Daphnia pulex: one gene and its partner. The protein of the gene in region 2 binds, or shares a complex with, the protein of the main gene of each other region. Links are inferred from orthologs where the notes say so. Each region holds a gene or a part of one and is shown on either strand. Other genes may lie near its edges. The genes, in order: pre-mRNA-splicing regulator WTAP-like and N6-adenosine-methyltransferase catalytic subunit-like.

Region 1 (3,890 bases), on a different chromosome or scaffold from region 2:
TTAGAGACAGCAACATTCCCATGGAAGATAGAAACTCTGTGGTAAAATTCGTAAACATGACTCGCTCACTCCTACGATTCATTGCTTGCTCCTTCGATTTAGCGCACTTTCTCATTGGATTCTCTTATCAAACTGTAAATCCAATAGACATTTGTCAACCTCGTCTTTGATTATGTATATGCGTGCAAAAATGCGACTCAGAAATAATCTTGTATGGTGTACTAAACATGGAATCATGATGTGCGAGTGTCATCCTAGATTAAGAATATTTCGTTTCATGCCAGAATCCTGTTTCTTTATTAAAAACAGAAACCCAAATGAATGGTTCTGTAATGTTTGTCTTACTTGGTTTCTTCCAGTACAAATTGGAGGCTTGTCTCACCCTTCACATGTGTTTTAAGTCATTTATTTGAAACACCTCAGACATTTTTTTTTTGCACAACTTTTCAGCCAAAACACATAAATCAAGAAACTACCCATCGCATTTTACCAGACAATGCCTGCTTCACTCTGGCTTGTTCAATATCCTTGACTGAAAAAAAAAAACAAACAAAAATATATATATTAATACGTTTTTTTTCTGGCTTCATAACGACTTGGGTCTCACTTGATTGTCGTCGGTTAGATCGACCGTACAACATCCTATGACGAAAATCCTTTGGAACACTGGAGCCTGGTTTGGAAAACTTATTTTTCCACTTCCTTGATTCAAGAACTGCAACACTAAAGTCAGATGATTCCACTTCTCCCGTTTCCAATGGGATGTAATGTTCTTTTTCAAACCCTAGTAATTGTGCAATTTATGAGACAACAGATCATTTATTTTAAAAGCTATCGAAAAATACTTATATGACCACTGGAGGCATTCCCAGATTTAGTTCTCTTTCTTTGCTTTTTCTCAGAATCTTGTTGAGATTGTTGTTGAACAGGTTGAGCTGAAATGACGTCCACTAAGTTATCAGGTAACCTTTTTGAAGCCAAAGACTGAAGGGTTTTAGCTTTCTGTTCTTTCATCAATGCTTCTTTTTTCTGTCTTCGTTTTTTTTGTTCTTCTTTAGTTATGCGTTTGAACTGTTCCTCTGCTTTAAGTATTGAAAGAGCTGCAACTTTTGATTTACTAAAGGATACATCATCAGGAGCTTCATCTGAATCTGACGCAGAGTCATTTTCTTCAACAGCTAGATTTGTTTCATCTCCTGGAAAGAAAAATAAACACTTTGTTGTAACGAGAAACACACAAGTTCCATCAAAGGAATTAAAAGAAATGAAGTACCTGCTGGTATGTTGAAAACCAAATCGCTGTCTTCTGGATCTGGGCAATATTCATACTGCACCGAAGCCATCTTATTTGTATTAAAAAAAAAGAACTTTTATTTTCCACGTTGTGCGAGTGAGACGGACAAGGACAACCAGACATGTGTCAGTACTCAGTAGCAGACAATATTCCGCGTTATTACAAGAATTTGACTAAACTGCGGGTTTACGGACATACCGATGGTAATGTGCGGGGTTAAAAGAAGAACTACTGCTTCTGGTGCTGGTGGGCTGGGGGCTGGCTGGGGGTGGGAAGGTACTTCGAAACTTTTCTGAATACACAGTTGCATTCACAGCAGAGGGATATTGCATTGTAGCCGTAGCTATCATCAGATTTTGAAATTGAGTGGAGACAAGTGTTAATGATCATCGAGCATCAAGCTGTAAGCACGTTATAATAATGGGTGAAGTGGAACGATGCTCTCCTATTAGAGTTTTATTAACTCATGAAGAATTAGTTAATCTTGACAAATCCCAATTACATCAGCAATGGATGAAGCAGGAAAACTACATTAATTGGCTGGAGTCACAGCTATCAACTGCTCAGAATGGTTGGCTTATTTTCTACATTCATACCAGTTTCTACGGTAGCTTATTTGTTTCATTCATTTAAATTACTATCAGCATTGACTCCAGTACGAGAGTTTGAAGAAAAACTTAAACATTCAATTTCATCTGAATCTGGAAGAAGGGAAAATTTTCTTTTAATGCGTTTGAACTCTAAAGAACAAGAAATTCAAGATCTAATAGTAAGTTTAATGAAAATGTATTTGATCAAAATGAATGCAATCACATTCATCTTAATGAATTTTCAGAATTACTGTGCCATTTACTTATTTTCACAAATTATGACAGGTCCAAATTCAAGAACTGAAATCATCACAAGCTGGTAACTCAACATCCTTGAGGTCATCACTGTTAGATCCATCAGTCAATGTTCTAATCCAACATTTGCGTAAAGAGCTTGATAAAGCTAAATCAGCATTTGAAGAAACTCAAAATGAACTGAGCGCTTGGAAATTCACTCCAGACAGGTTTTTCTTTATAGTAGTCTTATTCTATCTTAAGTTACTAACAGCTCACCTCTCTATTCTAAATTTTATTGTTGAAAAAACTTATAGCAATACTGGGAAACGTTTAATGGCGAAATGTAGACTACTTTACCAAGAAAATGAAGAACTAGGAAGGATGATTTCCTCTGGCAGGCTGGCTAAATTGGAAGGGGATTTAGCTCTTCAGCGAAACTTCAGTGAGGAGATGAAGAAATCTCAATCAGGTGAATTAATTTTGTTTACTATATTTCTTTAATTTGATTAAGTTTTGTAATAAGAATGCCACAGTTATGAAATTTGATTTGTTTTTTCTGTCTCAAATGAAGGATTCATAATTTGTGAATTGATTCGTTTCTAGAACCAAAACTTGTTTTCTCAAAAGTGCCTGAATCTTATCATAATTTAAATGTACTGTACTGACTTATCTTTTAATTTTAGCATTTTATTTTTATTTTTCAGAATTAGATGAATTCTTATTGGAATTGGATGAAGATGTTGAAGGTATGCAATCAACTATTTATTTTCTACAGCAACAGTTGCGCCAAACACGGGACCAACTATCTGCAGCTCAAAAAGAAAATGAACTTCTTCGTAATACCAGCACAAACACGGCCAACACAGGCGCAGATGAAGAAAAATCCCCGGTAAACTCTTCTCAATCGGAAAATCAGTTAAACGAAAGGATGTGCGAACCTTCTTATTTGCAGTCGAACTCTTCTCATCTTATGAATGATAGTGATCGGTGTAATGGCCCTCTTCAGCCATCTTTTCACAATGACTAACTATTACTTTAAACTTACCTTTCGTAAAACGTCAAACCTGATTCGATTACGAGTAGTTGGTTTTAATTTTCGTGATGGATTTTCATCGTTTATATCGGGTCTTGGACATATTGTAATCCATTATTTTTTTTTGTGTAGACTTGATTTTTTTATTGCCAATTGTAGTGTACGAGTAAGTTAATACGACGAGTAAAATTTTCTTCAGATCAAACAGCCTTATTATACACTGCGATTGAAGCTGCAAAATTAGTAACAGTTAGTTATAGGCTCGTATCCTATAACTTATTATCTTATATTTCCTATTATTATTATTTCCATTTATTATCCTACATTTTTAATTATTATGATTTTCAATCGTGCCGAAATTTTGATTCGATTTTTCGAGTTTTTTGGGCATATGAGAGGATTGTTGAGAGGATGTTATATTGGTTTTTCCCAGTATGGCGTCATATTCTTCCAAATTTTGCGCGATTCTTTAGTCATGAAGCTTAAATGGCTAAATAGCGATATCTGAAATAATAGATCCTAGCCACCGGTTTTTCTCTTTGGAGCACAAATTCATCGCATAAAAAGCCATTCGGGAAATCGTATGTGTGTGTGTGACATATACGCATTCTCGTTATGAACTTTTTATGAACAAAGTTCTACTAATGAATCGTGGTATTTTTACGATTTCATAAATTAGACTTTACAGATGTAATATCTCACTTTCTAATAATAATAGAATACCTACAATTCGTCA
Region 2 (4,437 bases):
CGACCAATTTGAAGCCTTTCTGTTCGAATCTTTTGATGATTTCACCGACGAGTCCTCGCTGGACACCATCGGGCTTGATCATCAAGTAGGTACGTTCTTGGTTTCCAGACATTTTATTGAAACTTACTTTTGATCGGGACTGAAATTAAAGGAGAAGACCGGCTGACGTACTGGATGTGACTAGTGACTTGAAAGTTCCAACACGACAAGAGGAAGGACGTCCTAGCAGACGACTTCTAACCAACGTGAACGAAACGAAAGTTCCCGAACCGACACTAGTGCCACCTTTTTATTTATAAAAATATGATATGCAAATTGGATCGGTTTACGTTACCTAGTGAATGGTAATGTTAATTTTTTTTAATAACATGGATCCTTGATCCGTTTTTGTACTTTGCTGCCCTTGCCAATTTCCAGAAAAGGCCATCTAGCGACCGTCTAAAATAATATGGAAATTTAATAGGACAATATTTTCAGTTTGATATTTTTATATCTCAGTTAAAATATTAAACACTGATATGTTCAGCCCCCCTTAAATATTTCAATTGATCTAGTCTTCATAAACCCAAACTTTATCAGCTGGCTGCCATGAAACAAGTTCTTCATCCCTGAACCACAAGGCAATTTCCTTGTTGGCACTCTCAACAGAGTCAGATCCATGCATGATGTTCCTAATTTTAAAAAAATTTAACATGTGGTGTAAAGTTATCATTCAAAACTAGTCTTACCTGCCAACTTGAATACAGAAATCTCCTCTGATGGTACCAGGCTTGGAGTCAGCAGGGTTGGTCTCACCCAACATTTGACGGCCAGTCTTGACAATGTTCAAACCCTCCCAGACCTGAAAGTACATTGCATGTATTAAACTAACAGTTAATTGCAGCTAAAGAAATTATTTCTTTACCATTGCAACAACTGGTCCAGATGCCATGTACTTCACCAAACCAGCAAAGAATGGGCGGCCAGACAGGTCAGCATAGTGTTTCTGCAACATCTCCTCAGTAGGCTAGTGACACAAACAAGTTAAAGAACAATCAGAATTAATGGCAGATCCAATTCCTTATAATTAAGAAGTGATTCACACATACCTGGACAAATTTGAGTGCGACCAATTTGAAGCCTTTCTGTTCGAATCTTTTGATGATTTCACCGACGAGTCCTCGCTGGACACCATCGGGCTTGATCATCAAGTAGGTACGTTCTTGGTTTCCAGACATTTTATTGAAACTTACTTTTGATCGGGACTGAAATTAAAGGAGAAGACCGGCTGACGTACTGGATGTGACTAGTGACTTGAAAGTTCCAACACGACAAGAGGAAGGACGTCCTAGCAGACGACTTCTAACCAACGTGAACGACATTTCCCGAACCAACACTAGTGCCATCTTTTTTTTTATTAAAAAAAATATGATATGCAAATTGGATCGGTTTACGTTACCTAGTGAATGGTAATGTTAATTTTTTTTAATTACATGGATCTTTAATCCGTTTTTGTACTTATTGCTGCCCTTGCCAATTTCCAGAAAAAGGCCATCTAGCGGCCGTCTAAAATAATATACACTGAAAGCAGAATGAAAACAATCTGGCTGCTTGTCTGACATTTTCTATCATATGCCGGTTTGTTTGTGAAGTTTTGTTGTTCTTATAATCCCTCACATTTATTTTGATTTGTTCCAAAATGTCTGACGCTTGGGAGGAGATTCAAGCTGTCAAATCAAAAAGAAATGAACTTAGAGAACGGTTACAAAAGAGAAGAAAAGAAAGAGAAGATCTCCTTGGAGGAGGCGATTCAACTTCAACTGTTAAAACAGATAGCAATCAAAAATTTTCAGGTAAATGAGGTTCTAGAACAATGATTCTGATTTTTCAACATTTCTTTTCTTTCTAGATGAAGCATGTGAGATAAATCTGTCAAGTTCCAGCAAAGAAGCCAATAAAGATATTGAAAATTGTGTTCTCAGGATATTAACCGATGCCACACTTTCCTTACCTTCAGATTCCAGAATCATTTGCCATAATGTTTCCACTCAAATTGGATATCTAGTTTCACACACAATTGTCAGTAATCTTCTCCAAAAATTTGCTGCTCAAGAACTTATTAGGTTTGTGTTGTGTGTACACATTTGATTGAGAATCCATATTAAGTATTATTCCATTTCAAAGACTTGTAGATGGCATACAGGAAAATCAGCCAGTACTTACCATCACACATGCTGAGCATGCTCGTCTTGTTGCTATGGTTACTGAAGATCAGTTAGGAAATTCCATATCCTTGAAACGAAAGCGTAATATTCTGTAAATTTATACTACTTTCCACTCTTTGGAATCTAATCATTGCATCAAAACAGAAAATGAAGTGGAAGCTGAAGAGTCGGCTTTACCAGCACAAACTGTAACAGTGAAAGAAGATCTATCTAAGTCCAAAAGAGAAAAAAAAGATTCCAAAAATGATGATGTCATGGTAAAATACATATGTTCACTGTTTTAATACTTATATAACTTGTTGTTTCCTTAGAACTTGTTATCGCTTCCGTCGACACGAGAAAAAGAAAACAAGAAAATGGGCGAAGAAATTCTGGATCTTTTGTCGAAACCAACTGTCAAAGAAAAATCCTTAGCAGAAAGATTCCGTTCACAAGGAGGTTAGTTGACCCTTACGCGACAAATTTTTTTTTGTTACTTTGATTATTAGTAATTTTCTTTAGGGGCTCAGGTTAAAGAGTTTTGCGCCCACGGAACTAAAGATGAATGCCGTAAAGTTTGGATGTCTGAATCAGATGACGGTCTCGAAAGCAAATGGAATTGCCATCGGCTTCATTTTCGTAAAATTATACAGTCACACACAGACGAGTCACTTGGAGATTGTTCTTTCTTGAATACCTGTTTTCATATGGAAACGTGCAAATACGTGAGCTTGTTGCGCAATGTGCATTCCCCCTAGACCTTCTCATTTAAATTCATTTTCTGGAAAATGTTAGGTTCATTACGAGGTTGACCAAGCCATTAAAACAAAGGATGATTTTGAACCCGGCTCCTTGCTCGGTCAGGCAGTGGTCTCGCGAGGTGAAAGCACTGTCCTGTACCCAGCTCAGTGGATTCAGTGTGATTTACGGTCATTGGATATGGCCATTTTAGGTATATGCAACCTTATGTACAGGTCCCATGGTTTTTTTTAATACTCTCTTTTTTACATTTATGATTCAGGTAAGTTTTCGGTTATCATGGCTGATCCACCGTGGGATATTCACATGGAACTTCCATATGGAACCCTTTCTGATGACGAGATGAGACAACTGAGCATTCCTATCCTTCAAGATGAAGGATTGATATTCCTCTGGGTTACTGGTCGAGCCATGGAATTGGGCCGAGAGGTATCATTACATTTTTAAAATAGTTGTTCAACATGTAGCAAAATCAACCAAGTGACTCACGCGTGTTCTCTCTCTCTAGTGCCTTCAGCTATGGGGCTACGAACGGGTCGATGAAATTATTTGGGTCAAGACAAACCAGCTACAAAGGATTATTCGAACAGGTCGAACAGGACACTGGTTAAACCATGGGAAAGAACACTGCTTGGTATTGACGTATTTTCTCACCCTACTACACCTTGCGTTTTAATCACTCTACTAAGCTAGTTAGTAGTTACGTATATATTCTACGAACGTACTTTCCAATACATGCGTATCTGGATTTTTGTTTGGTTATAGGTAGGTATGAAGGGTAATCCCAGAATGCTGAACCGCGGACTGGATTGTGACGTCATCGTGGCCGAAGTGCGGGCAACCAGCCACAAACCAGACGAAATGTATGGCATTATTGAACGTCTCTCGCCCGGAACGCGCAAAATCGAGTTGTTTGGAAGGCCTCACAACGTACAGCCAAATTGGTGTGTTCATTTACTTGACCTTCATGCATTACGTACTCACTGTCCTTCAATTCCGTTCTGCCTATTTGACGCCCGACGTAGTATTTTTGCTCTTTTCCTTCTAATATTTTGTGGTTAGCTTTTCATGGACGCTAGTAAGGAAATGAGAATTTTATCACGTGCAAGTAAATGACATTGTTACATGATATTTAGGATTACCCTGGGAAATCAACTCGATGGTGTCCATCTGCTTGATCCAGACATTGCCCGAGCCTACCAGAAACACTATCCAGATGCCAGTGCCCCCAATGCCAAATGAAATTTGCGAATCGCTCCGAATTACTTTTTTCCGCATTTTCAACGTTCATTCATTTTGATCCACCCATTTTTAATAAGTGTCACACACCTCGATTGCGTAAAATAAAAAAATTAGAAAGAAGAGAATGATAAACTTTGTTACTGGATACTTTTTGTTGCACCTCAAGAGGCCGTTGTTGAAATTTGAACGATTTACACCGCAAAAGTCCGCGACTTTACCATGCATTGATCACGTGAATCATGCCTTTTTGTTC

What was found.
Region 1: N6-adenosine-methyltransferase catalytic subunit-like (region 2) and pre-mRNA-splicing regulator WTAP-like share a complex: the UniProt entries of both Homo sapiens proteins name them as parts of the WMM complex. The link is inferred for Daphnia pulex from reciprocal best matches to the Homo sapiens genes METTL3 and WTAP.

The regions. Positions count from the first base shown.
Region 1 is NC_060020.1:5,269,717-5,273,606, forward strand, and holds pre-mRNA-splicing regulator WTAP-like, read left to right. Parts: upstream 1-1,598; 5' UTR 1,599-1,714; coding exon 1,715-1,865; intron 1,866-1,938; coding exon 1,939-2,063; intron 2,064-2,169; coding exon 2,170-2,590; intron 2,591-2,825; coding exon 2,826-3,148; 3' UTR 3,149-3,354; downstream 3,355-3,890. Other genes in the region: uncharacterized protein LOC124193179, read right to left, coding at 465-532, 608-784, 846-1,196, 1,274-1,343. UniProt on the Homo sapiens protein: Associated component of the WMM complex, a complex that mediates N6-methyladenosine (m6A) methylation of RNAs, a modification that plays a role in the efficiency of mRNA splicing and RNA processing.
Region 2 is NC_060028.1:8,119,350-8,123,786, reverse strand, and holds N6-adenosine-methyltransferase catalytic subunit-like, read left to right. Parts: upstream 1-1,505; 5' UTR 1,506-1,678; coding exon 1,679-1,832; intron 1,833-1,888; coding exon 1,889-2,102; intron 2,103-2,163; coding exon 2,164-2,285; intron 2,286-2,348; coding exon 2,349-2,461; intron 2,462-2,515; coding exon 2,516-2,642; intron 2,643-2,705; coding exon 2,706-2,908; intron 2,909-2,978; coding exon 2,979-3,135; intron 3,136-3,204; coding exon 3,205-3,371; intron 3,372-3,450; coding exon 3,451-3,576; intron 3,577-3,707; coding exon 3,708-3,886; intron 3,887-4,017; exon of another isoform or gene 4,018-4,078; coding exon 4,079-4,184; 3' UTR 4,185-4,304; downstream 4,305-4,437. UniProt on the Homo sapiens protein: The METTL3-METTL14 heterodimer forms a N6-methyltransferase complex that methylates adenosine residues at the N(6) position of some RNAs and regulates various processes such as the circadian clock, differentiation of embryonic and hematopoietic stem cells, cortical neurogenesis, response to DNA damage, differentiation of T-cells and primary miRNA processing.